Linked DNA regions of Coturnix japonica. The protein of the gene in region 4 interacts with the protein of the main gene of each other region in a pairwise test. Links are inferred from orthologs where the notes say so. Each region holds a gene or a part of one and is shown on either strand. Other genes may lie near its edges. The genes, in order: RALBP1; ZGPAT; keratin, type I cytoskeletal 20-like; AMOTL2; BRMS1L; GCC1; NFIL3.

The links.
Region 1: the proteins of AMOTL2 (region 4) and RALBP1 interact in binary tests that used the Homo sapiens proteins (3 or more experiments, as listed by UniProt). The two-hybrid records come from large-scale screens. The link is inferred for Coturnix japonica from reciprocal best matches to the Homo sapiens genes AMOTL2 and RALBP1.
Region 2: the proteins of AMOTL2 (region 4) and ZGPAT interact in binary tests that used the Homo sapiens proteins (3 or more experiments, as listed by UniProt). The two-hybrid records come from large-scale screens. The link is inferred for Coturnix japonica from reciprocal best matches to the Homo sapiens genes AMOTL2 and ZGPAT.
Region 3: the proteins of AMOTL2 (region 4) and keratin, type I cytoskeletal 20-like interact in binary tests that used the Homo sapiens proteins (3 or more experiments, as listed by UniProt). The two-hybrid records come from large-scale screens. The link is inferred for Coturnix japonica from reciprocal best matches to the Homo sapiens genes AMOTL2 and KRT20.
Region 5: the proteins of AMOTL2 (region 4) and BRMS1L interact in binary tests that used the Homo sapiens proteins (3 or more experiments, as listed by UniProt). The two-hybrid records come from large-scale screens. The link is inferred for Coturnix japonica from reciprocal best matches to the Homo sapiens genes AMOTL2 and BRMS1L.
Region 6: the proteins of AMOTL2 (region 4) and GCC1 interact in a two-hybrid assay, tested with the Homo sapiens proteins (2 studies listed by BioGRID and IntAct). The two-hybrid records come from large-scale screens. The link is inferred for Coturnix japonica from reciprocal best matches to the Homo sapiens genes AMOTL2 and GCC1.
Region 7: the proteins of AMOTL2 (region 4) and NFIL3 interact in binary tests that used the Homo sapiens proteins (3 or more experiments, as listed by UniProt). The two-hybrid records come from large-scale screens. The link is inferred for Coturnix japonica from reciprocal best matches to the Homo sapiens genes AMOTL2 and NFIL3.

Annotation. Positions count from the first base shown.
Region 1 is NC_029517.1:88,790,607-88,793,470, forward strand, and holds part of RALBP1 (ralA-binding protein 1), read right to left. Parts: intron 2,440-2,864; coding exon 2,278-2,439; intron 2,055-2,277; coding exon 1,923-2,054; intron 1,330-1,922; coding exon 1,222-1,329; intron 510-1,221; coding exon 388-509; intron 1-387. UniProt on the Homo sapiens protein: Multifunctional protein that functions as a downstream effector of RALA and RALB. As a GTPase-activating protein/GAP can inactivate CDC42 and RAC1 by stimulating their GTPase activity.
Region 2 is NC_029535.1:9,383,596-9,388,067, reverse strand, and holds the start of ZGPAT (zinc finger CCCH-type with G patch domain-containing protein), read right to left. Parts: upstream 2,847-4,472; 5' UTR 2,752-2,846; coding exon 2,135-2,751; intron 1,408-2,134; coding exon 1,274-1,407; intron 743-1,273; coding exon 584-742; intron 1-583. Other genes in the region: ARFRP1 (ADP-ribosylation factor-related protein 1), read left to right, coding at 4,238-4,330. UniProt on the Homo sapiens protein: Transcription repressor that specifically binds the 5'-GGAG[GA]A[GA]A-3' consensus sequence. Represses transcription by recruiting the chromatin multiprotein complex NuRD to target promoters.
Region 3 is NC_029542.1:4,173,756-4,178,390, forward strand, and holds the start of keratin, type I cytoskeletal 20-like, read right to left. Parts: upstream 2,922-4,635; 5' UTR 2,863-2,921; coding exon 2,443-2,862; intron 2,213-2,442; coding exon 2,130-2,212; intron 1,929-2,129; coding exon 1,772-1,928; intron 1,576-1,771; coding exon 1,414-1,575; intron 1,332-1,413; coding exon 1,206-1,331; intron 1,065-1,205; coding exon 844-1,064; intron 1-843. UniProt on the Homo sapiens protein: Plays a significant role in maintaining keratin filament organization in intestinal epithelia. When phosphorylated, plays a role in the secretion of mucin in the small intestine.
Region 4 is NC_029524.1:3,377,650-3,382,053, reverse strand, and holds the start of AMOTL2 (angiomotin-like protein 2), read right to left. Parts: upstream 3,138-4,404; 5' UTR 3,006-3,137; intron 2,893-3,005; 5' UTR 2,841-2,892; coding exon 2,167-2,840; intron 1,014-2,166; coding exon 782-1,013; intron 1-781. UniProt on the Homo sapiens protein: Regulates the translocation of phosphorylated SRC to peripheral cell-matrix adhesion sites. Required for proper architecture of actin filaments.
Region 5 is NC_029520.1:32,940,661-32,945,011, forward strand, and holds the start of BRMS1L (breast cancer metastasis-suppressor 1-like protein), read left to right. Parts: upstream 1-1,423; 5' UTR 1,424-1,531; coding exon 1,532-1,667; intron 1,668-4,351. UniProt on the Homo sapiens protein: Involved in the histone deacetylase (HDAC1)-dependent transcriptional repression activity. When overexpressed in lung cancer cell line that lacks p53/TP53 expression, inhibits cell growth.
Region 6 is NC_029516.1:516,747-521,275, reverse strand, and holds the start of GCC1 (GRIP and coiled-coil domain-containing protein 1), read right to left. Parts: upstream 3,042-4,529; 5' UTR 2,849-3,041; coding exon 1,715-2,848; intron 519-1,714; coding exon 1-518. UniProt on the Homo sapiens protein: Probably involved in maintaining Golgi structure.
Region 7 is NC_029547.1:39,516,748-39,521,215, reverse strand, and holds the start of NFIL3 (nuclear factor interleukin-3-regulated protein), read left to right. Parts: upstream 1-1,500; 5' UTR 1,501-1,612; intron 1,613-2,605; exon of another isoform or gene 2,606-2,967; intron 2,968-4,468.

The DNA.
Region 1 (2,864 bases), on a different chromosome or scaffold from region 4:
GGAAGAGAAACAACACCCTGAGATCAAAAACACTTGCTCAAGTTTACCAGGACTGGAGCACATAAAAATTGCTCACGTTCACTAAATAATCTAAAGTGGCTTTGAAAACAAAATCAGGGTTTAGTTTACTTTAATAAATCCATTATTCCCTATGGGGATGTTTTTTTTATGGAGCGAAGGTCCAGTTCCCATTAGATCACAACTTCATTGCTGTACTAACAGAGAATATCCCAAAAGTTGAAAAGATGCTAAGATTTCAATAAAAGGTACCAGCTTGCTAATGTGCCGATGTGCTCAGAGTGATCTTTTAAGTGTGGTTTAGTTCTGCTGCTTCTCCCCTGAGCACATGCCTGGCCAGGGAGCTGAGGCAAGCAGTCTCCCTTTTACCTTTGTATTTCAGCTATCTCTGCACGAAGGCGATCGATTTCTTCCTTCTCTGAGGCTATTTGTCTCCGCAGAAACTGCTCCATGGCCAGCAGTTCTTCTTGCTCCGTTAAAATCTCGTTCTCCTGCAACAAGCAATTAGTTCACTTACAGCCTTGGCTTTATGTTCTATGGGAACACGCGCTGAGGACTGCCCTAATGCTGAGCCCTGGGAAGCAGTGATGCTGTTCCCTGAGCTGTTTTCAGAAGTACTTAGTGTGCTTGCTCGGCACCAAGTCAGCAAGACTTCAGCCCAACTCTAGGTTCAAACCCAACAATGTCTGTTCTGAATCCTCAAGGTGATGCTGTAAATCTCGGGTGAAAGCTCTGGGATAACCCAGAGAAACTACGCTCAAAAACAGGCCTTTGAAGATTAATAGTGAGAGAAAAGTGCAGCGGAGGGAAGATCAAAGCTATTGAGGCAAGCCAAGGCAGGCATGAATACCAAAAGAGCTGCCTTATTTCCTTTGATCAGCAGGAAAAGAGTTAACAGTCCTAACTCTGGTCAGATGCAGAAGTGCCTTCTAAGTATGTGAACAACAAGGCCCACTTGTTGCTGCACACAACTGTGCCTGAACAGCAGCCTGTTCACCTTCAGGCACACTCCTGCAGTCCGTGTGCTTTCCCTGCCTTATTTAGTGCTCAAACAAAGCTTCGGATTTTAACAGAGAGAGTAAGGCCCATTGACGCCCCTTCTGTTTTCCATTGTATTAGAAGGAATAAATACACGCTCAGTAACTCTGACAGATGTGGAACATGAAACTACAGCATACAAACCGATATGCGCTTGCCATCTACCTGTGCAAGCAGAATATTTATAACTTCTTCATTCTCATTCATTTCTTCTTTGGAGACATCCTCCTTGGAAAGGCTGGCAATTTCTTGTGCAATCTTTGTTTCACACTCCTGCCAGAGAAAGAGTTGGGTCAGAACACACGGTGTTAAGCACAGAGTGGACAGGAGCTCTGTCAAACACTGTTTTAGTCACGCACTGTTTTACAAACAGCTGGAGGATGAAGGTGCCGCTCCTCAGCTGTTTAAGAACTGAGATGGAAAATAAAATATTGCACTAAAAAGACTTTCTCAACTCAAGAGTACTGCAACTAATACTGGAAATCTGCAAATTTAATTCTAGAAGGTAACTTAATGTTTCTCTTTAGAATCTGCATGCATGAAGGAAAGCAGAATGAAAGGCTTCGGTGGCAACCACGCTTTCTAAATCCAACTTACAACCCCCAGAGCACCAAAATTCCATACCTGTCACAATCTATGAGCATTAGAAGCCCCCAGTCCACACTTATAGAATCATCTGACACTTGTGGTGCTTTCAACTGCTGGGTTAGGCAGTTAAGGCTGAATGATGCACCCCAAGAAATGGGGACGAGCAGCAAATAACTGATAGCCATGAAACTTGGGCAAGATTTGCTGAAGTTAGGAAATGCTCCTCGGTCATTTTCATCCGTGATCTACATTTGGGCAATAAATAGTAAGCTACTCACTTGTCGCTTGGCTTCTCTTAGCTTCCTCTTAAGAGCTGTTAAAATTCTTTGCACCTCCCAGAGTCTCTCTTCTTTGGATAAATCTTTTATCCCCGCCTGCAAGTCTCGGTGTAAACAGTTCAGTAGGAACTCCTAGAAACATTACCAAGGCAATTAGTGTCCTTAGTATATCAGAGCAAAGGAAAAAATATGGCATTGGCTTCTTCATGACAAAAGGTCTGGAGTTCTGCTTTTCAAAGCACGTGGTGTCCCACAACAGGACAACTGTGGTATAATTACACTCTTAGGAACGTTTACTGCTGAATTTATCAAATCCAGGACAAAACCAAACAAAACAACTGAAGTATTCACCAACCTGTCGCCTGATTTCTTCTTTGATGCTTTCCTGTGTCTCTGGAAGTGCTGGCATAGTCGCCATATTTGACCAACGAAGAGGTTTTGTTACCTGTTTCAGGGTCACATTCCCAAAGAACTCTTGAACGTGTGTAAAAAGTACATACAGGACACGGTTGCTGATCTGAAAGAAAGGGCATGGGAGTAGTTCAGATGATTTCTTCACATAATCTGCACCTGTGAAGCACAGTATCTTTCTCCAGAAGTGCAACGACCTTCCATCACTCACAAATACATTGAATGGTTTGGGTTGGAACGGATCTTTAAGATCATGTTGTTACAACCCCCTGCTATGGGCAGGGACACCTCCCTCTAAACCAGGTGGCTCAAGGCCACATCCAGCCTGGCCTTCAATGCTTCCAAGGAGGGGCATCCACAACCTCATGGGACAGCCTGTTCCAGTGTCTCACTATCCTCACAGCAAAGAATTTCTTCCTAATATCTAGTCTGAATCTACTCTCTTCCAGTTTAAAGCCATTTCCCCTCATCCTGTTACTACCTGCCCTTATAAAATGTCCCCTCCACAACTTTCCTGTAGGTCCCCTTCAG
Region 2 (4,472 bases), on a different chromosome or scaffold from region 4:
TCTGGAATGGTCAGATTGACATATGACATCCCAGCAAAGTTTGGCACTGTGGCACATAATGTGCTTAATTAGTGCCTCCAGTGCATGTCAGTAGCATGAGGATTCTCTAGGCTACTATGCTAATGATGTGTTATTAGCACTCAATAATCTCCATTAGGCTGAATTTACTGAGCAATAGGACACAGCTTTGTCCCTGTGACAAAACAGGGGCACAGACAGAGTGCTATCTGTGTATGCTCAGAGAACCTGGTTCTGTTGGTGTCACCTCTTCATAGTAAAAAGCCAGGCACAGCTGTTACTCATCAAGACACTGGGAGGTTTGAATACCTGTGCCTGGGATCTCTTACTCCTGTTGTGTTATACAGCTCTGTGTAGGCTCCGGAGAGATTAGAAGTCTCCTGTTTTACTTGCTCAGCTCACACACCCACTTGAAAAACAGACTAAGAACTGGAACTCCATTATAAAACATTGCGCCCTCTACCTGCTGCTACAGAAACATTTGAGCTTCACCAGACTCATACTGGTGACAGAAGGCAGACACAGATCACAAGGCACTTCTCTCACACCCCCACCACCCTCTCACCTTTAGCATAACCAGAATCATCAACACTGTCTTCATCAGATTCAGCAGATGAGGCACCATCTTCGCTTCGTAGTGGGGGAATTATACTATCTCCTTCTACAACAGCTTCCTTTAGCAGCAGGGAATCAAACTTCACCGTGTAGTAACCACTGTCAATATCTACAGAAGGAAAAGCAAGAAACAAGAGTTCAAGTAAACTCTCAATACAAACACTGCAGAGAGCTTCCTCAAAGTTGGCTTCAGGGAATGATGCGGGAGAGGAGGAAGGCCTGAAGAACACGTGTTAAAACAGCTGAAGGCTTAAGAGATTTACTTATAAAAATAGAGGAATATGGGCTGTCAACAAATGGAACTAAAAAGAAGTTTGACTTACTCCCTCTGACCCAACAAGTGCCAAAGAAAAAAACTTCTCAGAACAGAGGGGAGCCTCTATCAACAGCTCCCAGATTACTGCAGTTCTACTCTAATATGCAATTGTATATGCATGTATATTTCCTATCCTATTCCCTTCCCAAGCCTGACACAACTCAGAACACGTTCTCAACTACCTCCAGATTTTTAGTTCAAGGCCACAGCTACATCCTCAAGTGTTTGCTATCATTAACCAAAACGGTCATACTTTGTAATTCCTTCAGCATGGGTGCTCAATCTCTACACAGCTCTGGCACAACACCCACAAACACCACTCACCAGTTATTTTGGCAGCATACCATATCCCATCACTGTGTTTGGCCAGGCAGGCTGAGCCCACCTCCAGGGTACTCAGATTGGGCTCCTGAAAAGGCTGAAGCTCCTCCACAGAGACCACCTGGCCATGTGAAAACCTGCCAGGGAAGACAGAAAAGGAGTCAGATCTACCTCACTAGAAAGGGCTTGAAATATAAACCCCTTCCTTCCTGACAGGAAACTCAAACAAATTGTCAGCAGTGATGAATCTGCATCAGAAGGTTTATCATGCATCATTTCAATTAAAGAAGTCATTCGTTTTTCACCATATTCATATAATTTATGCTGTGTAATAGAAGAAATAATCCCACTCCCAAGAATGAAGCTTTCCCTGATAGGGAGATCTCTGAAAAATCACAGATCTTTTGAGATAATGAGGACTGCACACAGACACAGAGATCTCAGCCTCCTGCTCAAAGCAAAGCCAACTTCAAAGCCTGATCAGGCTGCTTAAGGCCTCATCTGGGTTAGATTTGAAGCTCTCCAAAGATGGAGACCCCGCAGCTGGAACAAAGGTACCATCAACAGACAGCCCTGGGTGTTTTTGTTTTAACTCATAAGCCTGTGACTAAAGTAGCTATTGGAATGATCAGGTAAAATCTCTGCAACTTGCCCACAGGGATTTCCACTTCATATCTGCATTACCTGAACTGTCCAGCTCTTTGATACCACCTGTTACCATACATAATGGATTTTAATAACACTGCAAAATCCCATTGGTTACAACAGCCAGCGTGGAACACTCAGATGTTCCAGCCTTTGAATCACACGGCCTTTATCAGCAGCGAGGATACGAGCCCCCTCCCCCTCCATATTTTTCTTTACCGACAGTTCTCTTTAAATCTGCATTTGTCATCCAAGAAGAACGGGCACGGCTTCAAGGACTTGTGAGTGGGGTAGAGATACAGCACTCTGACACCTGCACTGCCATCTTCCAAGTACTCCGTCCCCACAATCATGGCATTATGATACTCCAGCGTCCCCCACGAGCTGTAATACGGCGCTTTAACCTTCATCCCACTCAATTCCTCCTCCTCCTCCTCTCTATCAGACTCTTCCTCGCTGCATTTCAATTCACTCTCCTTGCTTTCTTCGTCTCCCGTCGCAGATCTCTCGCTGTTATCAGCTGAGGGCTCACCATCAGTCCCCAGCTCAGCAATGGCTTCCTTGAAGGCAGCATATTCCTCATCCTGGGCACAGCTATCGGGATTTTCACGCTGATTTACACAGGAGGCGCTTGTATCCAACGCAGCCAACAACTTGCTCTTCTTCACAGCCACCAGGCTGGACTCGGTCAGTTCTATCAGCTGCTTTAAATCTTCTTGTAACTGAATCAGATCCGATCGCTGCGAGGGGTCCTGGCCCGCCCCCAGAGCCAGCTCAACCTGCTGCAGCTGGGCGTTGTAGGCCTGGATGGCGGCTTCCAGGCTCTCCTCATCCATTGCGAATAGAAGCCAGGCCCCGGTTTAGGCCTCAATCCGAACCTCCCCGCTCAGCTCCCGCACCCCCACAGCACGGCCGCCATTACGCCCCCCCCACTTCCGCCCTTCTGAGCAGCCACTTCCGGCTTTTCCAGCTGTCGCGCAACGCCACTTCAGCGACCAATCTCTCCGTAGTGCGCTTGCGCAGTCGGGCCCGCCCCACGCATCCGGCGCCGCTGAGCATTCTGGGAGTTGTAGTTTAAAATAACCCCACCTCCCCGCCATAGAGGCGGTGTGAGAACTACACTTCCCAGAGTGCCTCGCGAGGGACGGCGCCGGCGGCTGGTGTGGTGGGGGAGCGAGGCGGCGCTGGGTGACGGGAGGAGCTCCCGGTACCGGGTGAGGGGCTGCGGTGTGCGCTGTGCGGCCGGGCCGGGGCCTGCGGGGTACGGAGGGACTGTGGAGGGATCTGAGAGCTCAGCCGGGCTCTGAGGGGTGGGGACGGCGGGGAGGGCTGCGGGCTGTGGGGCAGGGGGGGTCTAAGGGGCGTTGTGTTGTGACCAACTGCTTGTATAGCGGGTGCTGCAGCAGCACTGCTGTTGGAGAGAGGAGGGTTTGGGATAGGTGAGGGTTCCTACACACACCGCCTGGGTACGTGGTTTGAAGTTAAAAGAGGGAAGATTTAGGTTGGATGTTAGGGGGAAGTTCTTCACTAGGAGAGTGGTCAGGCCCTGGAACAGGCCGCCCAGGGAGGTTGTGGATGCCCCGTCCTTGGAGGTGTTCAAGGCCAGGTTGGACGGGGCCATGGGCAACCTGATCTATGGGGTCTCTATGGGGTCTCTATGGGGATCTATGGGGTCTCTATGGGGATCTATGGGGTCTCTCTGGTCTCTATGGGGATCTATGGGGTCTCCTGGGCAACCTGATCTAGTAAAGGTGTATGTTTGGTGGCCCTGCCAGGCAGGGGGGTTGGAACTACATGATCCTTGAGGTCCCTTCCAACCCGGCTCATTCTGTGATCCTGTGATCTGGCTGTGAGCTCGGTTCAGCTGTTGAAGATCCCATAATACTGTCATAAACAAAGTGAGGGGGCACCAACCTGCACATTCCTGCTCAGAACACTCCTCTATATCTGCACACCACTGGCTTCTTTTCTACGAGTCTTATATGTTCTCTAAGTTACTTTCAAGCAGACTTTAGCTTGCTCTTAAGTCCAAGAGAGAACAAACTTTGAGTTGAGAAGTGAGTTCATAATGGATGCTGTGCATTGTGTGCTGAAACACAGGTTAAGCTACTTGGAAGATCATGTTTTGAACATTGGATCTTGAGCTGTTTGCACTCTTCCTTTTGTGTCTGTGATTTGTCCTAGGGTTGGCTTAAGAGTTACTGATAAACGAGTAATGTCACTTATTAATCTGATGTTGGGAGAAGTTTAGATCATGGAGTGGAAGAATTCTGGAGATAATCTGTTTGTTAATGATTTCCTGGCATCTGTTGCAGGAGCAGGATGTATACTCTGCTGTCTGGGCTCTATAAGTATATGTTCCAGAGGGATGAGTACTGCATCTTGATCCTCGGTTTGGACAATGCTGGTAAAACAGTAAGTGCTGAGTGTTACCAATTGCATGCAGTTCTAAACATCCCCATCTTCAGAGACAAAACTTCCACCAGATGGGTCAGTCTTTGTCTGTAACATGAGCTATTTAAGCGATGTTGCCCCCAAGGAATCAACTTTTATCTCG
Region 3 (4,635 bases), on a different chromosome or scaffold from region 4:
CTGCACCTTTAATATAAACAGGTATATTTCCTTTCATCAAGACTTTAGTTCAGCCCTTGTCACGTGTTTAGATGAGTTTTCAGTACTAAAGTGAATTTTGTTAAGCGTCAGCTATAGGTGAAATTCACCTGCAGGCTAATTTCTGCAGTGTTACAACTTCAGCTCAGGAGGATTTGCCCGGCCTGGTTCCTGAGCCAGAACTGACCTTTGAACCATAGGACCTTTGAGGGAAGCAGCGCTGTCTGCTTGTGCTGCTCTGCACTCTTTCACAGACCTCTGTGCACTGCAGAGCAAGGGATGCTGGACTTTCCAGACAGTAAATGTCAGCTCATTTGCACCTCCTACGTATATAAGTGGCTCAGCTACTGGTGGCAGAAGTGCAGCAGGATGGAATCCTGCACGGGCTCCCAGACTTGCCATAGACTGCAGGAGGTCAGTGTGCGCTCACTGAGTGCCTTGCTCTGATGTGGTCAGGTGCTCATGCTACCAAAAGCAGTTTAAAATGATGTGCCCTGAGTTTCTGTCATTACAGTTATGGAAAAGTTTATCTAAAACTGCATCACTTTTGTTCATGGAGTGTGGGCGGCTGTCAAGATACTCAATTCAAGAAGAGTAACAGTGTGTACCCGTGCAGAGGGTGGCATAGACTGGTCTGAACACTGCAGCAGCCTCTGAAGGAGCACAGACTTGGAGCCTACAGCTGAGAGCCGGGCAGCAGGCAGACTTTTTTCCTTCAAAAACCAGTTGCCAATAGGCAGATTTTACCACCGTTTCTGTCTGAGAATTTAGAGCTCATTTGCACTGCTGTCAGTGGTGCAAAGCTGCCGGAGCCCCTTTCCTCACCTGATGTCCTCCCCTTCCAGCAGACGTCGGTACGTGGCGATCTCCATCTCCAGGCGAGTCTTGATGTCCAGCAGGATGCTGTACTCCGTGTTCTGCCCCTCCATGTCAGCCCGCAGCTGCCTGAGCTGAGCCTCTAACCTGGCAATTGTTTCCTGGATTTGAGCCAACTGAAAACTGTAACGTGCTTCAGTTTCAGCCAGAGAATCTTCCAGAGTCTTCTTCTACAGTTGGTGAAAAAGAACAGAGATTTATTGTTCAAGAGGATACATCTTGGCCTTAAAATTACATTTTGAAATATGTCCCAGTTTTTGTTGTTATCTCTATAAACACAGCCCTTATTTCAAGAACTGTTCATCACTCACCATGTTCAGATGGGTCTGTAATTCCAGCTCCAGGCTCTGGGAGATCTGTCTCCGATCTGTGACCTCTCTCCTTTGTTCTTGCAGCTGCTCTACATTGATTGCTACTTCCTGGTTCAGTGCTTCTGTCTGAAATATGGAAATGGAAGGACTGTGAGCTGTGACCAGACATGACAGAGGCTCTCGCTGGTGTTGAAGCAATTGACCTTACTTGCTTTTCAAATCGTTCTTTGGCTTCTTGGCGGTTCTTTTCTGCCATTTCTTCATACTGCCGTCTCATGTTTTCCATAATACTTGCAAGATCAACACCTGGAGCAGCATCCACCTCTACGTTAACCGAGCCACCCACTTGTTTGCGCAGCCTTTCAACCTCCTACAACATTGAGCACTGCGTTAGCATCAGCTAAAGTGAACTTCCAGGCCCAAATATTGGGCAGAAGCTCAGAAATACAGAAACAGAGCAACTCTTAATTCTTAAATTTAAATTTAGCTCTTAATTTAACTCTTAAATTTAATTTGTAAATGCCTCTGACAAAAAAGAAATGATGACACTGTTCTGCTGCTCTCACCTCTTCATGGTTCTTCTTAAGGAAAATGATTTCTTCATTCACGCTTTCAATCTGTGCCTCCAGATCTGACTTGGTTAAGGTCAGGTCGTCAAGGACTCGCATGAGCCCATTGATGTCACTCTCAACACTTTGCCTGAGCAAGAGCTCATTTTCATACCTGTAAAACAAGGCTTCTTTCGCCACCATAGAAGTGCAGCAGTTTGACAGAAACATCAAATCAATAACTTCTACAGCCCGAGGCCTAAAGTATTTGTTTTTACTGAGCTCTGTGGTTTACTTCTCAGCTTTGATACTAATAACTAGATGTTATCCTGAATAACTGAAGCATGAAGGAGTGCAGGCAGTGCGTGGAACTTACTTCAGTCTGAAATCATCAGCAGCCAGCTTGGCGTTGTCAATCTGCAGGACAAGCCTTGCATTTTCCAACTGTGCAGCACTGATCTAAAAAGGAAAGGTTGGAAAGGGATGAAGCAGAGGTAATGCAGCTCGCAAAGGACACTGAGTGAGTCTTAAACATTAGAAAGTCTGTCACTAATTTGTGTCTGGCCAGAATGAAGCATTTCCTGTTCCCAGGTGAGACAGATCCTATTTGATCTACTTTTCCACAGTAGATTGTTACCTTCCCCAAAGCTGCAGTTTATGCTTTTATAGATGGCTGTAGGAGATCTTACCTTGTTTTGGAGTTCCTCGATTGTTTGGAAGTATGAGCTGTAGTCACTCCTTATGCCCACTGTATTCTTCTCGTGCCACTCCTTGATCTGCTTTTCAAGCAGGGAGTTTGATTTCTCCAGAGAGCGCACCCTCTCCAGATAGGCAGCCAAGCGGTCATTAAGGTTCTGCATGGTTGATTTCTCATTGCCAGCGAGCAGCAGGTCGTTATCAGAGATGTTGGAGAAGGCACCGCTGGAGCTCTGTCTGCGGACGGTGCTGCTGGAGATGCGGGTGCCGTAGCCGCCAGCCCCACCATAGACACTGGGCGCCTGGATCCGCTGCACGGCCGCGCTCCTGACGGACAGAGCGCTGCTACCAGGAGCTGTGCCCTGCAAACGGGCGGCTGTACCCAGCTGGAAGCTCTGTGTGGAGAAGGACATCGTGCCTCCTGCAAAGGTGAAGCGGCTGACTGTACGACAGCGAGTTGGAGTGAAGTGCTGTGTGCTCTGTAAACCTTATATTGTCTTTGGAAGAGGAAGCACGGTGGTTGTAAACCCCACCTCTCTTGACGCATACTGTAATTGGTGTCAGCACAAATAACATGCAGGACATTGTCCCCACACTCTGTAATGCAAAGGGTTTTTAATCTCTCCATCTGCGTTTGAAAAAAAACTGCTCAGGAAATTTAGCTTTATTCATTTTTATTTTGAATGAAAGATAAAACACAAACGAGCTGCTGAATCATTTATTGCAGCCTAGCCAGCCTATCTCTATAGAGCCATTGTCGAACAAACCCTGTGCGGGTTATGAAATTAAAATGAGTTGACCGTATGTGACAAGAGACCTTAAATATTTATATCTCAATCCAGTGTACATTGCTGTTGTGTGAGCCATCGTCTGGGCCTGAGGATGGTGTAGGAAGGTCTTGAAATGGTCAGGAAGGTGGCATTTGTATCTACCGCCTTCATTCATTCTACAGTAAGCACAGAACAGTAATCTTAGTGTTGTCAAAATGACTGGTGTAGTTTGCTTGCATTGAATGTACACTGTTCAGTGATAGAAAGCCCTTAGAAGTTGAACTGGGCTGCAGTGTGGTTGAGATAAGGCAGAAAATGTAGTAGGCAAAGCTGTAAGGATATGAGAACCACCTGGATGGCTCCCTTTATTTTACATGTGAGATGCTGGTCCATAGTGCTGAGACCAAGCTTCCAGCACAGCTCCAAGCCCTCCTGCCCTGGCAGCGTGCTCAGCACGTTGTGCCCTCTGGCTGCTCTGCCTTTGACAGGAAATCAGCTGCCTCTGATCAGCACACAAAGAAACCCAGCAGCTGTGTTTTGTAGTTCCTCCAGCTGCAATGTATGTACTGCTGAGATGTGACAGGCAGAGATACAATGGAAATCGAGTGAAAGAGCTCAGAGCTGGGGGAGTTCCTGGTGCTGCATGAAAGCAGGCAGCAGGTGTGCAGCAGGACAAAGCAGGTGGAGTTCCTTGGGGCACTGCATTTAGTGTACTTCAGTGTATTAATAATGTACGGCTATTCAGGTTGAACAATTAACATGTATTGTTTATATTAGTGGAAAAGAGCTGCTGTACATACTGGTCTTTTAACCTGGGACAAGGCAATGGGTGACGTGCTGTTCTCTGGGCACTATGCTGGATCTTGGCAGCATCCTCAGGTTTCTGAGAGCTGAGTGTGGGATTCGGTGGGACCAGTTCAGCTCAGATTGGATACAGAACTACCAATAGTTTGCTGAGTGCAGCTGTAACAAGGCAGAGTTCAGCTGCTCTGGAAATGTGCATCTTCCAAAGCAAAACGAGCAGCATTCAGAGCAGGGCTCCTTGCCATGAGGATGCAAAGTGTACATTCAGGTGTCTGAACTGTGGTTGGACCTCGAGCTTTGGGTGTGACTCAGAAGCATAAATGTGCATTTATGGCAGGTCCGGTCAAAGTCCAGCAGCCAGGTCAAATGTCCCGTTGCTATAGACACAGGGTGGGTCTGTTCTATCTGCACTCAATAGGGATCATTTCCAGCTGTAGGGCAGAGCTCACATCTTTAAAACCACGAGAAGAACGCAGCAAAAGTCCTGCTACAGTTACATCTGCTGTCTGTGCATTGCTCTGCCTGCATCTCTCACAGGACTCTCCAATGGTTTGTTTTCAGTAGACATTCTGCTTTGTCTTCTTCCAAGTTATTAAAATAGTTTCCCCTCAG
Region 4 (4,404 bases):
GCACTGCCAACAGGGCTCCGCAAACCCACAGAGGATGGGCAGGAGCCGCAGAGTGAGAAACCCCCACAACAACACAGGTCTGGGGGCAAAAACCCTTTTTCTTTTGCTTTCAGCCCTGTGGGCACAGAGGGAGCTCTCTTGCCTTAGCATGGATTTGGCTGACTATGGCCCCCCGGGGCTGGCCCAGCTTCTCCCGGTGCCTCCCAGTGTCCGTCTGTCCAGCAGGGAACAGCCCTGTCCTTGTGCAAAGCTGTACAAAGGGCTTTCTGTGGTGGCCGGGCACGCTCCTGGGGCGGGTGGAGACAGCCTGAGTGCTACTGGAGCCTCAGAATGGGCTCTTTTTCCCCTCTCTTCCACACTTGGCCAAGGAGCCGTGCTGCCACCAAAGCGCAGCTGCTTGCTGTGGGGGGCAGCCACCGGAGGGAGGGGGCAGAGATTAAAACACAAAAGGGGGTGAATTTTCACAGCAGCTGCTTGATCCTGCCCCAGGCGGCAAGGAAGCAAATGCACGAGCTCGCTCAAAAACAAGGGACAAAGCCGCACTGTGCAGATGAGGCCATTTCCAGGTGTACCTGCTCTCAGCCTAAACCTGCTGCCCGTGACACGGCAGGAGGTCAATGAGCCCTTCCCTTCCCCCCAAGGGATGGATGCTGGTGGGTGAGGTGCTGGGTGGGAGCAGAGGTGGGCTGAGCATCTGCACCCATTGCCCACATCCCAAATAACCAGCAGGGCTGGGGTCCTGCATCCTCAGCGTGCTGACAGGAAGCAAAGGCCAGCTCACCTTCTGGATCCTGCTGGCTTTCTCCGTGCAGCTCTCCAGCTCCCGTCGCAGCCTCTCATTGTCCAGCAGCAGCCTCTCATTCTCCCGCATCACAGCATCCACCTGGGCCAGCCGGCTGCCAGCTGAGGCCGCCTGTGCACTCACCAGGGCCTCCACACCAGCAGGGCTGAGAGAGCCCAGCGTGCTCGGTGAGGGCAGGAACGCTGCGGGGACGGGTGCTGGCATCAGCCTGCTGGGGGGAAAGAGAGGGGTGCTCAGCCACTTCATGGGGATGGACACACTGGCCACCACAAGCACCCTGCCCACATGTTCTCCTCTGTCAACCAACCCGTGTGGATACGCAGAGCTCCTGAAGCACCTTTGGACAAAAGAGGTGCTGGGTGCCCATGGGTCATGCTCAGGAGGATGAGTGCTCAACCTGCCCTGCACAGCTGGGAAGGGTTGGCTTTGGGCACACAAAATACGAAGGAAACCCCATCTGACAGCACTGCCTGCAGCTTGAGCACCTCCACACCCAGGATTTAAGCACCTGAGAACATCAGGACTTGACTGCTAGGCCGGGGGGGGGGGGTCAGGGGGGCTCAGTACCACCCTGCTGCTGGGTGATGCAGTCAAGAAAAACCCTCAGCAAAGATGTATGTTGGAAACCTGCAGCACTACCACTTCTCCTCATGGTTTCCTGGGCAAGGAGAGGGCTCCTGGCTCCAAGCCTTGCCACCACACTGTTAATACAACCCCATTCTATCACCCAGAGTTCCTCGACATCCCATGGCTGCCTCAGCCATCCTGAGCCATGTGGCCGCCGTGCTGGAGCCTGCATTCCTATGGGGTGATCCAGGAGCGAGGAAGAACAAATGCATCTTCCTCACAGTTCTGCTTCCCCTCTTTGTTCCCTGGAAGGAGAGCTGTTTCCTGCCAGAAATGCTATCACTCCCTGCCCTGGTAAGTCAGCTTGGAGCTCCTGCCTATAGCAATTCCATGCCAGAACACCACACTTCCCAGCCTTCCCTGAGCACCAGGAGATGCCCAAATCTCCACACCCACAGACCTCCAAGCAGAGGCAGGTTTTGCTGGAGGTGTCAATGGGCTGGAAGGAAGGAGCAGTGCTCAGCGCTCCCATACACTCTGCTGGAAGGCACGGGGCCGGGGGCACCCTCAGCCGGGGAGGCCAGGCAGCTTTTTCCACTCCGAGCAGCACATTTTCCTTCCACGCTGGCTCACGCCTGTTCCGAATTTAGCCATTTCCTGACCTGCCTCCAACTCCTGCATTAACCCCGAATCCCTCCCGGAGCAGCGGAGTTTTCACTGCCGGATGGAAATCCTGAACCAACCGAGGCAAACCGGGGCCAACCAGCACCCAAGAAGCGGCGAGGGCTGTGGGTTACCTGACTTCGGGGTGCTGGAAGCCGGCCCCGTCCCGGGAGCAGGGCCGGGACAGGTAAGCGACGGCCGCCTCCTGGCTGGGGAGGATGTAGGGATACTCCGGTGGAGGCCCGCGAGGCTCCGTTCCCTCGGGGCGCTGCCCTCGCAGGGTGTATTGCCGGGAGAGCTGCGGGAAGCTGTGGGACGAGCTGATGGGGCCGTGCGCTTTGGCCCCGTTCCTTTCCAGCGACATCTGCATCAGCCGTTCGCTCAGCGACCGCACGTGGCCGTGCTTCAGCTCCTTCAGGGCGTCGTCGGGGCGTCGGGTGCCGCCGTGCTGCTGCCCTGCCCGCTGCCCCGCGTAGTATTGCGAGTGCGCCTTGGCCTCCTCGTAGCTGGGGAGCTCCTCGCCCTTGTGCTGGGGCTGTGCCGGGCGGTATCCGCCGTGCTCGTTGTACAGGTGGTCGGCGTGGTGCTCCTGGCCCTGCGGCTCCTGCCGGGCGGACTGCGGCACCATCTGGCTCTCCTCCTGGGTCAGACTCTCCAGCGACGAGCGGGGGCTGCCGGCCGTGCCGCCGCGCAGCGCCTGTTGCTGGATGGCCAGCAGCGTGCGGTTCTCCGTCAGGTTCCCGTAGCGCAGCTGCTCCTGGATCAGGCGCTGCAGCACCGTCCCGCTCGAGTCCTCCGCCGTCCTCATCTCCGCCGCGTTCCGTCCGTCCGTCCGGGGGCTCTACGAGCGACGCGGGCACCTGCGGGGGGACACGGGGACGTCAGCGGGATTGGGGCCGGAGGAACGCGGCTCTCCCCACGGCTGTGCGGCTCCTCGGGGACGGGGGATTGGGGGGAGGGCGGCGGTACTTACCGGGGCATGGCGGAGCGGCGAGGCCGTGCTGCCGCTCGGGGAACGAGGCCACTGCCGACTGCGGGCCCCGCCGGTAGCGGGGGCCGGGCTCGGGCGCTGCTATGCCCGGAATGCGGGGCCGGGCCCGCCCCGCCCCGCCGCCACCTCCTCCTCCTCCCCGTCCTCGCTCCGCCGCCAGGGGGAGCAGCGCCCGCCCCACCGCCATTCGGGGCTGGGCCGGTCGGTGTCGGCGCTGGGCCGGGGGCTGCCGAGGGGTTGGGGCAGCAGCTGCCGCCCGGGGGGGCTCCGAGGCTGTGCCCGCCAGCTGCCCGCCTGCATAAATCTTCGTGCCTGATCCCGGCCCCGAGAGACGCGCCATTGTCTCCCGGCCCTACAAAAAAAAACCGCGGCCCCATCTGCTCTGCCCTCTGCCAGCGCCGCTCCCCTTCCCCAGCGCAGCCCCCCGACCCCCGCCTCTCGTGCGGGATACACGCGTGCTTTGCTCCTTCCCTTTGTGGGGTGCAGCAGGTCGGGACCCGCGGCACGGAGCCCGGGGCTGCCCGGCTTTGCGGAGCCGCTTCCCCGTCGTGCGGCCGCAGCGGAGGAGCCGCGGGACCCCCAGCGCCGGGCACGTCCGCCCGCGGGGCCCCGAGACGGCAGATGGTCCGAGGGGCGGCCGAGGAGCAGGTGCAGGGAAAATTGCTAATTAGATACGGGACATTAAGCTCTCATTCTTGAGAGAGGGAATTTGGCACCTTCCAAAGGCCGAACAAAGCCCGGAGCGCGCCGACGGGCTCTTCCTTTTGCCATCCTTTGGGGGGCTTTGTCTGGGGGGAGGAAAGGGACTGGCTGTGGGTAACGCTCTCTGCTCGGCCAGACACCGCTGCATCCTTCAGAGGCACAGATGCACGCTGCACAACCTGAAATTCGGCCAGCCTCCCCTGCCGGCCCCCAACCATGGAGGTATCGGGCTGACGTTCAGCACCCAGCCGCTCACTGACTGATAACGGGGCTGAGAAACGAGCCCTGGACACAGAGCAGGTGTGGGCGAGATCCCAAACCCTACCGGGGGTCTCTTAGTGGGATGGGGGCACCCAGCATGCCGGAGGTCCCAGCTGCCCCCCCGGCTCATCCAGCAGCCTTATCTATGCCTGCGTCATCCCGCTTCCCTTCCTATCTCCACACCGCTCTATTTTTGGCAGCAGGAAACCCCTCCTGGGCTGATAACAGCACTTTGGAAAGTGATCTGAAGAGGAAAAGCCCTCTGCTCCTCTTTTTCTTTCTAACACGGCAGATATGGGAAGCTTCCACCTTTCCATGCTCCCCCTGGACGAGCCTGACCAGCTGCTGGCTTCTTCACACAGCCCTTCCCCATCCACAGACCCACACAGACCCACTGCTTCCCATCAGAAGATGAAGC
Region 5 (4,351 bases), on a different chromosome or scaffold from region 4:
AGAAAAAAAGAAAAAAAAAGAAAAAAAATCAGCACAATGCAGGGGGTCTGACACTTTCCTTCACTTATCTCAATAAAATGGCTCATCTACATCTACAGGCTGATCCTTCGGTAGCTGGATTCCTAAAAGGCATCTTCACACAGCAAGAACACATCTCCAAAAGTTGTCTCACAAGCCAGATAGAATCTTCTTTCCCTTTCCACCTAGCACACATCTGGGCTCTAGACAGATGACTGAGTTTGGTGTTGCCACTTCTCATGCTGAAGGTGTATGGGTGATCAGGTTGATCAATTTTATAATCCTGGAAACAAATTATCTGTGCACTGTGCCAAAATGTAGCTCCTGGAATTAGCCTGACCTCTTCTCTTGTCCAGCATTCCACCTGGACACAGAGACTGAATTCAGTTGGCACATTTTTCCCCCCCCCTTAGGACAGTAAACGTTTGTATTGCTTTAGCAGGGTAACTCCCTCTTGGCTTCAAAGTATAAAGAACACAATAGAAGAAACACGCAAAAATCACGTAACTAAAAATTTAACATTAAAAAAAAAATAATCTGTCTCAATTTTGTATTTCAGTTGTTCATTTCCACTGTGGCAAGGGAACCTTGTTTTGCTCCTGGAATGTACTTTTAGCCCCTTAGTTCCAACTGCTTGCATAGGAAGTTGCCATCACGAGGCCAAAAGTTTCCTGATTTCCTGCCATTCCATTCCCTGCTACTGTTGGCTTTTCTAGGCCATAGCACTTGATTTCCTGTTTTATCTTGCTAGACTGAGATGTAAACCTTAAGACTTTTATTATTATTACTTCTGGATTCTTTTTACTAAATCCATATGGATTCACTATAAAGCATTTCAGACCCAGTTGGCAAAATTCACCCCTTTTTCCACGGGGACACGTCCAACTCTTAGCAGACTTCCTTACTTCCTTTCAGCCACCCAAATCCCTGACATCCCTACATTGCACGCTGGGCAAAGGAACAGCACCTTCCAGCACTCTGGGAACTGCTTCTACGTTTTTATATTGCATTAATCCGCTCGTGGTCAGCTTCTGGGATACCGAAAGCTGTTAATAAACAAGAAAAACCCCATACACCGACGAACGGTAGCCATCAAGGAGGCAAGTTCTATATTCACACCCGGGCTCAGCTCGTGTTACACACGGTTCCCCTTTAGGCCCAGTCCCCGCTGGCCGGGCCCACCTGCAGCAGCCGCAGGGCGCTGCCCGCCATCACGGCGCCCTTCAGAGCAGCACGGAGCGGCGCCGCCATGACACCCCTCACAGCACCTACTGTACTCACAGCTCACAACTCCCAGCGTGCGCCGCGCTTCGGCTCGCCGGGCCAATGGGGAGGCTCAGTCAATGACGGGGCTCAGCCAGTGAGACGGCTCGGCCGATGACAGAGCTCGGCCAATGGGAGGGCGCGGCGGGCGCGGCGGGCGCCGGGCGGGGTTGGTGGCACCGCGGGGGCTGGTAGTGGCGGCGGCGGGAACGGCCGTTCTGGGGCCGGCCCGGTGTCGGCGTTGGGCAGCATGCCGGTCCACTCCCGGGAGAAGAAGGAGAACAACCACGATGAGATGGAGGTGGACTACGGGGAGAACGAGGGGAGCACCTCGGAGGAGGAGGAGACCGAGAGCTCGTCCGTGTCCGAGGAGGGGGACAGCTCAGGTACCGGGGTCACCGTCTGTGCCGTTCTCTCTGTTCCTCCCGGGGGGAACCGGCCCCAGCTCCGCCGGTACCGCCGGTACCGCCCCCGCCGCGACCCCGCCCCGCCGCTCTCCTGCTGCTCTCCCGCTGCTGCGGCCCAGCCGGGGGCGGGGACGTGGCGGGGGCACGGTGGCACCAACTCGGCCCCAACGCAGGTCCTGGTGCCGAGCGGGCCGGGCCGCGTGGTGCCGCCGTGTCTGTGCGGGGCCTCGCTTGGGCTTCAGTCTGCGACCGGAGCCAATGTCCGCCTGGTTCTTCGCAGGCGAAACTGAACGTTTCTGTTGGGTGTTTTGGGGCCTGTCTGGGTGGGAGGGGACCTGTCAGTGCCATTGGCCTCTTCTGCGCAGCATTAAACCCTGCTCTGCTAAAGGCTTCTTTCCGTGCCTTACTTGCTCAGGACTGTGGTCTGAGGGTGATTTAACGTGTGAAAGGTGGCTCTAACAGCTGTTCACCTGTTAAAAGGAAGTTTTCTGTTGGAGGTTACCTTATAATTCCAAGGGCTAAATTAGAAACTTGTCATTTAATGGCAACCACGGAAATGCTTTGGAGAGTGTGCTGCAATCTGGGATCGCTGGGGCTCCATATGTCCTGGCCCACACAGGACCTTTGCCACTGGATCCACTGGGGAGCTATAGGAGAAAAGGCATTATACTCTTTAATCAGGTTTTGTTCTAATAGGACAAGGGGAAATATTTTCAAACTATGAGAGAGGATTTGGTTTGAATAGGAGGGGGGAAAAATTACAGTAAGGCTAGTGAGGTACTGGAACGGGTTGCCCAGGGATGTGGTAGATGTCCCTGGAGACAGTCAGAGTCAGACTGGACCAGGCTCTGAGCACCCTGATCTTGCTGTAGGTGTCCCTGTTCATTGCAGGGAAGTTGGACCAAACGGACCATTAAAGGTCCCTTCCAACTCAAACAGTTCTGTGATTCTTTGAAAAGCTGGAGTGGTGCTCAGTGCTGGCTGTAGTCCTGAGGCAAGCTCCTGGTAGCTGGAATTTGCAAGTATTGATGATTGAACCCTACTTTGCAACTCTAGGCAGCTGGTCAATGATTGTCTGCTTGGATTAAACTGTCACCATCCTTCCCCTCATTCTTACCCACCCTTCTTGGTGCATTGTACTTTCTTGTCCTTGTTTATTGCTCTGTCTTCAGTGACACTGGGCCTTTGTATGCTAAGCTGTCAGAAAAATAGCCCTTTAAAAAGTGAAATAGCAAAAATGTCTCAGTGAAGAATTTGATTTGTGAATGAGAGGTACTGGGGGCTTAATGTATACTAATGCTTGGGTAGACTGCAGCTCCTTAGCAACAGAAGTCATGAATAGCAATTTTGTTAGAATATGTAAAGATCTCCAATTTACATCAGTTAACTTTGCACGTATTCTTGTGAGTTTAAGATTAATGACTTGCACAGGTTTAGACAGGAGGCTTCCTGAAGCAGAGATTCTGAAGTTCTTGGCTGTTTCCTCATCTGAGGGAACATCATGCTTCTCTCATCTAATGCAGTATTACTCAGGAGATATTTTCAGTCCATAAACTGTGGAGCACATCCAGGTATGGGCTTGCAAGAACTAGCAAAATTATTACAAACATTGTTTCTATTTGTGTCTCTAATAACAACTGATTTGGTGAAGAGATTCCTAGTTTGGAATAGATAGTGCTGAGGCCCCTATATCTCTAAAGCAATTGTAGTTTTGTTTCAGATAATATAGCCTGAACTGTATGTGTATGGTTGAGAGCTGCCTGAAGATCAAGTCATTGTTTCAAACTCTTATGCTCTCTGTTGATATTTGAATACATTTGGTAAGTGCTTGGAATGAAGCTTTGAATTTAACTTAATAGTTAAATTTGGTTTCTGTTCACTGAAACTGCTGCAAACTGAACCAGTGTGCTCAAAGCTGTTCTGTGGTGAAACATGTATGTGCACACAACTTTATAAATAGTTGGGCTGTTACAGATGAAGAGTTCATTGATCCAGGTACAGATCTGCTGCTGAGAAAGACCGATGAATCTTTCCTTACCCCCATTCTCTTGAAGCTGTTCAGCTGAAAAAAAAAAAAAAAAAAAAAAAAAAGGACCAGAAAGATGTGCTTAACATGACTTGGATAGGTTTGATGAAACAGGCTGGGCAGCATCAGTGTGCACTGGTGGTTATGTTGGAAGAAAGGTACATTTGAGTGAGGATATCCAGACAAGGAGCTGCAGATATCATATTTTAAGTTGAAAAAACATGTCTAATTATGTCCCTGATTGCACAGCAACCTGTTCTGTTCCTTTTTGATGTGATTTAGGAAGGCATGTTTCAATTCTTTTATTATCAGAATTGAATGTGACCTTGAAATGTGAATATTCTGTTTAGGAAAGTAAGTTAATGGAGATGGCTCTTCCCTACTGAACGTGGCTGTTTTTTCAAAATAAGGGAACAGACACAGTTTGTTAAATCTTTCAGAGAGTAAACGAAGTAGAGGAGGAATGGACGAGCTCATTGAGCAATATGGAGGTGAGACGCAGGGTTGCAAAGGGCTCCATGATGAGGTCCAGGAGCAGAACTGCAACAATAACCCTTATGTAGCCAAGCGGGTCTTCCCGCTTGTCTTGAAATAGATTATGCAGTTTATGTAGGTTACTGTTACATAGACTGCCTTT
Region 6 (4,529 bases), on a different chromosome or scaffold from region 4:
AGTTCTTTGGCCAGGTTGCCATCTTTGGCTGACTTGTTCTTGAGAACCACTTGTGCCCTCATCTTGTACCTTTCAAACTCTTCCTTCAGCTGCTTCAGCTCCTGCTGATAGTACAGAGCCGTGGCCTTCTCACCATCCCCGGCCTCGGTACCTTTTGGCAGCTCCAGCTCACACAGCTTCTCGATGTCCAGCGTGGGCTGACTCTTCTTTGCTGCCACCTGCAGCAGCTTCTTCAGCTTCTCCATCTTATCCTTGAGAACGTTCACATCCAGATTGGCTTCTTCCACGTTCACATCAGCAGGGGATCGGCTGGAGGCTGCGATGGCCAAGGTTTTGTTCTCCTGGTCCAGCTGCACGATGCGATCCTTCAGTTTCTGGATGACCATTTGGTCCTTCTGTTTGGCCTTCTCGTAGGTGCCCAGCAGCCCTGACACCTCAGAGACCTGCCCCTCCAGGTCGGCCACGCGCTGCTCCTCCATCTGGGCGTGCTGCCGGAGCTGCTCCTCTGCTTGTGCAGTCTGTAAGCAAAGAAATGCAGCGGTGTTAGACCACCCTGCAATTACACAGGCCTTCATTCTGCTCTGAACAACTCCAAGCAAGCACAGGGACACCCTTTCCCTAGTTTCCAAACAATCCTCCCCCACCCCACACTCTCACACGCCCATCTTTAAAACAGAGACTCAAGGATGAAACAAACCGAGTGCGTTTCTGTATTTGTTCCCTGCTGTTAGCAGCATTAATGTGCATTGCTGGAGGCATGTGCAGGGCATGAAGCACAAAGCTCACCTCACTGTGGGATTTTTTCATGTCTGAGTGTGCCCTAAAGCTTTCCTACACCTAACTGTACCTAAATGCTAAGCTTTGTTACACCAATATTAACGTAATTCAGTGGGCTCTGAGTAGCTACAGCAAACACTGGAGCTCACAGCTTCTATCACCATCGAGATCTGACCTCCTAAAGAGCACGTGGAAGGTGGCACCACTCCTCAGTCCCCACTGTGAGCCAAAACACAGCTGGGATCAGCCCATCCTCAGCCCTGTCGTACAGAAGCTGCTGGGTATCACTTCCAAAACAAGGTTAATCGCATCCCATCAGCCCGAAGCTGATAATTAGAGGCTTCAGATTAGAAAGCTGAAAACTTATTCCAGACTGTGGGGAAATGAGGATCCCATGCTGGTGTCCTTCCAGCTGCCAACTCAGCAGCAAAGCCCTCCATCCCTCTGCCCCACAGCCTGCAGAGACACACAGCAAGATGCACAGCCCAGCACCTCGCTCAGCAGGCCGCCCTTATCGCCCACCTGCCTCACCGCTCACCTATTACAGTTCCATGCAGGGGGATGTGGAGGTCAGTTCCCTTTAAGAGAGTCCGAACCGAACCTTGCATTGCATTTATGATGAGAGCACGCTCATTGCCACTGCTCTCCTCCCAAATCCAGCTGCTGCTCGGAACCAAGCGATGCTCACCACGTAACTCCCACAAAGACTGCTCCTAAACCACCCGTGGTTAACTGATTTATACACTGCATTGCCAACAGCTTTAATTTTCCTCAGGGTATATGATCCCATCAGATGAAACTATGGTATTTTCTCCTATCTGAAATCTTTCGGACTTTGTGGCATGTGGCACAGGGAGAATTTGGGCTCCTCAAGCCTCCATCTGCTGCTCTGGTACCCCCTACATTGGGCTGCTCTAGGGCTCAAGCAGGGAATTACCTTCCTCATCTCCTGCAGCAGCTGCGCTTGGAAGTGGCTCTTCAGGTTGGCCATCTCCTCCTGCAGGTCTTGCACCCGGGGGTCCGGCTTCTTCCTCTCCTCCTGAACAGCCTGCAGTTCTCTCTTCAGCTCCTCCACCTCCTGGCTCAGCTGCTTGATCTGCAGCTCGTAGCCCTCAGCACGATCAGCCATGCACACCCGGCCGGCCAATGCCTCCCTGGTCTCCTCCAGCTTCAGCTCAGCGTCCTGCCTCAACGCCCTCTCGCTCTGCAGCAGCTTCTGCAGCTCCCTCAGCATAACAGCGTGGTCGCTCTGCTCCTGGGCTCGGTCGTGCTGCTGCGTGATCAGTCGAGCTTTGGTCTCTGCCAGCTGCTCCTGTACAACCCTCAGCTCCGTCTCCAACCTGTCAGTCTCATCCTCCGCCTTTTTAATGGCGTCATCCAGGTCCTGCTTCATCTTCTTCTTGTCGGCTTGATATGACGCTTCCATGCGGGACTTCTCCTGCGTCACCGTGGACAGGGCGCTGGTCAATGTGGCCAATTGGCTCTTCAGCTGCAGCACCCGCTTATCGGCCTCAATGGCAGCACAGGGCACGTCCCCATTGCTGTTACTGGTACCAGTACCGACCTCGGAACCATTCCCCTCATCTGATTTAACAGCTGCTGCGTGTTTCTCATCCTCAGGTCCCTGCTCGCCCTTCGTGCTGCCCAAACTGGTTGTTGTGTCCACGCTGGCGGCCGTTCCCATGCTGTCCTCGCTGTGAACTGAGCTCTTATCATCCATGGGATCAACATGGGGAGAGCTGGAAGGAGGGGAAGAGCCGGAGGGGAGGGAAGAGCTGGAGGGGAAAGAAGAGTTGGAGGGAAGGGAAGAGCTGGAGGCAAAGGAAGAGCTGGAGGGGGCCACAAATGGAGCCTGAGCCCCATTTAACCCAATGTCGGCCTCGTGGGACGCCGATAACACCTTCAGGCTGGCCTCCAAGGCCTCCTTCTCGTTGATGAGGCTCTTGTAGGCGATGACCACGTCCTTCAGCCTGGCCTGGTAATTCAGGAGCTGCTTCTTCTGCGACTCGATGGTTTCCAGCAGTTCTTTTTTACTCGGGCCTCCTCCGAAGTTCATACCGAATTTCTCCATGGTTCCGGGATGGGGGTGGGCCTGGGGGCGGGTAGGTCGCAGGGCTCAGGCCTTACCTCCGGACCGGGCCGGGCCACAGCAGGCCGCGGCCTCCAGGCCCAACCAACGAGTCGGTACCGGCAGCCAGAGCGCCGCCGCACACCTACTTCCGGCCTGCTTAACTTCCGCCCTCCCACCTACTTCCGCCTCGTTTAACTTCCGCCCCTACTACTTCCGCCCTCCCACCTACTTCCGCCTTGTTTAACTTCCGCCCTCCCACCCACTTCCGCCCTGCACGTTAAGCCCCGCCCACTGGAGGTGACGCACCCCACGCTGCGCATGCGCAAAGTGAAGGGTTTGGGGCGAGGAGCGGCCACCAATCAGGTGTCAGAACGGAGCAGAGGGGGCGGGGCTAATAGGATTGGGGGCGTGGCCTTGTAGTCTGGGGGCGGGGCTTAATGAGGGGGCGGGGCATCGTTGTATGAATGAGGATGAGGATGGGGTGAGGGGGGGGATGGGATGGGGATGGGATGGAGGGGAGGATGGGATGAGGATGGGGGTGAGGATGAAGATGGGATGAGGATGGGATGAGGATGGGGATAGGGATGAAGATGAGAATGGGGTAGGGATGAGGATGAGGATGGGATGGGGATGAGGATGAAGATGGAATGATAAGAATGAAGAGGAAGAGGAAGATGGGATGAAGATGGGGTAAGGATGGGGATGGGATGAAGATGAGGATGAAGGGGAGGATGGGATGAGGATGGGATGGGTGAGGATGAAAATGAAGATGGGATGGGATGGAGATGAAGATAAAGATTAAGGGGAGGATGGGATGAGGATGAAGATGGGATGAGGATGGGATAGGGATGATGATGAGGATGGGATGGGATGGAGATGAAGGTGGGATGGGGATGAAGATGAGGATGGGATGATAATAAGGATGAAGATGAAGATGGGATGGGGGTGGAGATAAAGATGAAGAGGAAGATGGGATGAGGATGGGGATGGAGATGGGGTAAGGATGGAGATGGGAGGAAGGTAAGGATGAAGGGCATGAAAAGGGGAGGATGGGATGAGGATGTGATGGGTGAGGATGATGAAGATGGGATAGGGATGGGATGAGGATGGGAATGAAGGTGGGATAGGGATGAGGATGAGGATGGGATGGGATGGGGATGAAGATAAGGATTAAGGGGAGGATGGGATGAGGATGTGGGTGAGGATGAAGATGAAGATGGGATGGGGATGAGGATGGGATGATAATAAGAATGAGATGAGATGGGAATGGGGATGAGGAATGAGATGGAATGGAATAAGAATGAAGATGAAGAGGAAGATGGGATGAGGATGGGGATGGGAATGAAGATAAGGATGATGGGGAGGATGGGATGAGGATGTGGGTGAGGATGAAGATGGGATGGGGATGAAGATGAGATGGGAATGAGAATGAAGGTGGGATGATAATAAGAATGAAGATGAAGATGGGATGGGAATGGGATGAAGATGAGGATGAGGTGGAGATGGGGATGGGGATGGAGATGTAGGTGGGATGGGGGTGTGAATGAATATAGGATGGGGATGAGGATGGGATGGAGATCAGCGTGAGGATGAGTGTGCAATGGAAATGGGGTTGGGATGGGGGTGGGGATGAGGATGGGATGTAGATGAAGATAAGGATGAAGGGGAGGATGGGATGAGG
Region 7 (4,468 bases), on a different chromosome or scaffold from region 4:
AAATTATCTGATGCGTTGGGGGGCTACTAGTGTTATTGACAGTCCTGCAGATTCTCACCACAATGTACAAGGGCTGCCCTGAGAGTAATGCCACCTGTTTTATTATGTTGGCCCACAACATCAGAGGCAGATGTTGGTGGTACGGCAGGAGAGGTTGAACCTTCCCACCAATATTCCATTACATGTTGTTGCCGTGTGACAGGTGGCAGCAGAGGGTCAGTCTGACAAAACAGCAATTAACATAGAAGTGCAGATGAAGTAAAGGTATGTCACTGAATTCATCTGTGCAGAAAAGAAATGGCACCCACTGACATTCACTGATGTTTTCTGTGCATTTATAGAAACCAAACAGTGGACATGAGCACACTGAGGCGGTGGATGGTGCTCCAGCAGTAGTGGCAGTGACAGTGGGTCATGTCCACTCACTGGTGCAGACTTTAACAAGCATGGCATGCATCTCCTGTTTGCTACTGGTAACAATGTACAGCAAATGGTGGTGACTGTGTTGAAAAATAGTGTCCGGTAGCTGAGAATTTGCTCTATCAAACAATGTTCTTGTTCTCTTTTTATCTATTGCTGTTTCCTTGGAAATAAATGAGGTATTACTTTCAGGACAACCTCATAATAATACAAAAGATATAGGATGAGAAATAACGTAGAATCATAGAATCATGAAATGGCTTGGGCTGGGAAGACCTTAAAGAGCATCCAGTTCTATCCCCATGCACATGCTGCTCAGATTTCTTCATACAGATGGTCTGGTGTCCTTAAGACTGTTAAGAGTCCACCGACGTCTATAAGAACAAAGTTCACGGCTAAAGCACATTTCTGAGCTTTTCAATAGCACACCGACTGCCTTTGTATGGACGTGTGTCTACCTATGAGGGGACATAAGGCAAAGAAATGAAGTGCAGGTGGATGTGATTGCTGGTCCTCCAGCCTTTTCTGCAGCAGCGTGCTCTGCAGGGCTACCACAGCCAGGGCTCTATGCTCCAGCTACCAGCAGACAATGAGGGAAGGCGAGAATCAGTATGAGCAGAGGTTATTAGACTCGCAATAATGGGGAGATGAATACCGATAGATACAGACGAACCTGAGGCGCTTGGATTTACTGCACAGCAGAACATGGGGTGAGGATGAGAAAAGATCAGGGGCGGGGCCGCGGGTCGAGCGCCCCCCTCAGCGCCGCGCGCCCGGTTACGTAAGCGCCGGCCCCGCCGCGCCACCCCCACCGCCGCCGGCCGTTATGCAATCGCCAGCACACACACTCGCTGCACCACGCCCCCCCTTGGCCCCGCCCCCTCCCGCCCCCATTGGCCGTCCCCCGGCGGCGCCAGTCGCCGATTGGGGCGCGGCGGCCGCCAGTCACGGTGCGGCGCGGCTGGCATGCGGGCTGAGCGCCCCGCGCCGCGCAGCTCTGACCTACTAACACACATCCCTCCGCGCCGCCGCAGCCGCCGCACGCTCTCGCTCGCCTCGCGTACGGACAAGCGGGGCGACGCCGCCCGGGGCACGGCACGGCACGGCACGGGGCACGGCACGGCACGGCACAGCGCAGCGCTCTCGCCTCGCTTCACCTCGTGGATGGTTGTGGCCCCGCCGAGCACTCCAGGTAGGAAGGCGCGTTGCGGTGCGCGGGGCGAGGCGCTGCGTTGCGGTGCGACTGGCGGCGCCATCCCGCCACCGCCGTTACATAACGCGCCGACGGAGCGCCGCGTTGCGTTGCGCCCCGGGGTCCGCCGTTGTGCCGCCCGTAGCGCGGGGCCGGCCCTGCTGTGCACGGAGCGGGCGCTGGGCGCTGGGCGGGGTGCGGGCGCGGTACGGAGCTGCGGGCGGCTCAGCGCTGTCAGCGCTGTGGCAGCGTTCCCGGGACGGACCGCATCGTAGTTCCTGGAAGTGTGGCATTATGTAACGCGGGGCCGCTGGCTGCGGGCCGGGATCGGCGGGGGGATCCGCCTCGTTACGGAGAGACAGGGGCTACCGCGCCGTGCTCGTCGCAGGGTCCGCCCCGTTACGTTTTAGGCTCCGCAGTGTGGCAGCGGACCTCGTTACACTTCGGTGTCCCGGCTGCGAGCCTCGAGCCCGCGGAGCGGCTCGGCTCAGGCGGTTGGTGGTGGAGGCGCTCGGCCGGGCGCCGACCCGGCTCTCGGCCACCGTTCCTCGAAGATGGGCCCGTCTCCGTGCGTGGTGCCGTGCCGCTGTGCGAAGCTGTCACCGCGCCGAGCGGCAGCGGGACGGCGCCCCACGCCCGGCGGCGCAGCACGGCCCGGCCCCGCCCCGCCCCACGGTGCACAAGTAGGTCAGTATGACAGACTCGGCCGACAAGGGCAGCGCTGCCGCCGGGGGCGCCGCCGCCCCGGTCCCGCTCCCCGAGCCGTCGCCGCGGCTCGTACCCGCGAGGCCGTTGGCCGGGGCCTGGCGGAGGGCTGGCAGCCCACGGCCGCGAGGGTGAGGGCTGGCGGCGCTGCCGCTTCCCCCTGCTTCGCAGCCCTTTGTTCTGGGCCGAAGCAGGCTAAAGGGAGGGGGGGGGAAAGGGGGGTGGCGTCGTGGGGCCGCGCGGAGGGAGCGAGCCGGACCAGGCCGCCTTTGTGGCCGCCGCGTCTCGCAGCGTGGCCCCACAACCGCCGGGGCTGGACGTGTCCAGGTCGCAGCTGCAGACAAAGGGCCCGTGCTCAGCAAGCGCATAGTGGCTGCGGGCGAGACGCAGCCCCACCGCCATCCCCGTGTTTTCGGCGTTCTCCTTACGTAACGAGCGAGTCAAAAATGGCTATTGCCCAATGGTGCTGTTTTGCCAAGTCACTTATGTACTCGGTGGCACAGCCCTGCTCTGGGGTCAGGCCGTGCTTCGAGCTTCCTGGGAGCAACACTCCGAGCGCTGCCTTGAGCGTTCGGCAGTTTTTGTTTGCCCATAACGATCCTCCAGCCAGGGAGAGCCAGAATCATTCTTTGTGGTCAGAACCTCTAAAGGTAATGTTAGCACCGGGAACGCTTGCCATGTGTTCATGGGAATTGCTGTAGGTAGCAACTTTGAAGTATTCAAAAGTGTTCAAAAATGCAATAGTAACAATAATGTGCAGACTTTTTTGCTGCTTGGTTGTGGGGGTCAGGTTCAGCTGTGATGGCAAACCCTTTGGGTTCTGTTAAGAGCAGCAAGCAGCCTGATTTTTCCTTGTTCTTGTAAGTTGAATGGTTGTTCTTGGCTGCATTGTGCTCACTGCTGTGTACGTAACCTACTTTGAGTCATCTCTGCCCCTGGTAATTAATTCAATCCAGGGGGCAGTTTAAAATAGTGCTGTGTGTGTTACTTTTACAGTCCTTGTCCGATCAAAATGTTGATTTTGATAAGAAATGTGAATGAATAAGGATTCAGGTTGTGACCTACAGACCCAGTTTTAGCGAACAAGCCTGAGGATTACTGAATAGAAAGATCCTCAATATCACTGGCACTAACAGATACTACTTTAAACACTCTCACATTATTGGCATTTTTATGTGACTGTTGAAGTGCTAACCCTCTTTACAGTGATGTACCTTTTTTAATTTACTTTCTATTTTATACTATCCACTTTTCTACTTTCTATTCTACTCATTCTGTAGGGGACTCTTATTTATTTATCCAGTTTGAGGATTTGACTTCAGAGCTTCATGTTTCTGCTGGTGTTTTTCTTTTTTTTCTTTTTTTTCTTTTTTCTTTTTTTCTTTTTTTTTTTTTTTCATAAAAAGAATATGTCTGGAAGGTGTCAAAAACCTTAGAATCTTCCCATGAGCAATATGAACTTACTTGACCTCTCCACATCTAATCCTCTCCTAAGGAGGAACAGTGTTGTTTATGCTTGGGCTGAAGTTTGTTGGATGTACAGACATTGTCTGTTGCAATGCAAGTAGTGCACAATCCTCAAAAAATACCAGTGCCATGCTGGTTATTTTCAATCCTTTATCATGAAATGAAAATCAGAAAATAAACCTTTAGCTCATTTTAAATTGACTTATTTTAGCAGATGGTTATGCAAACTATGTTTATGCAATAGGTTTTTTTCCAGACAGCAATCTTCCTGTTATAACATCACTATGATGCAATAACGTGAACAATAAAATTCTCTGTTTGTGTCTTATTACACACTGTTAAGCAATGTATCTGACTCATCAGCTTAATTGACTCTTGTAGGTGACCTTGCCATGATCATTACAGCCAGTTATGAGATACAAATGTGCTTAGGACATGTAATAGAAAAAATATGCAAATAGATGGCCAATTGCTACAGATTGTTCTAAGACAAAATGTCAGATGATTTCTGTTACAGTATTTTACAGCACATGGTGGAAAAAAAAAAAGATATTTTTAAATTAGGGTGTGTAACTGTCTAATACCAATAACAAGCATGACTGTCAAAAATAGGATTGCATAACCAAGGACATACTTGGGCTTGGTTCAAAATGTGATGGAAGCAGTGTTCTTAAAAACCTTTTG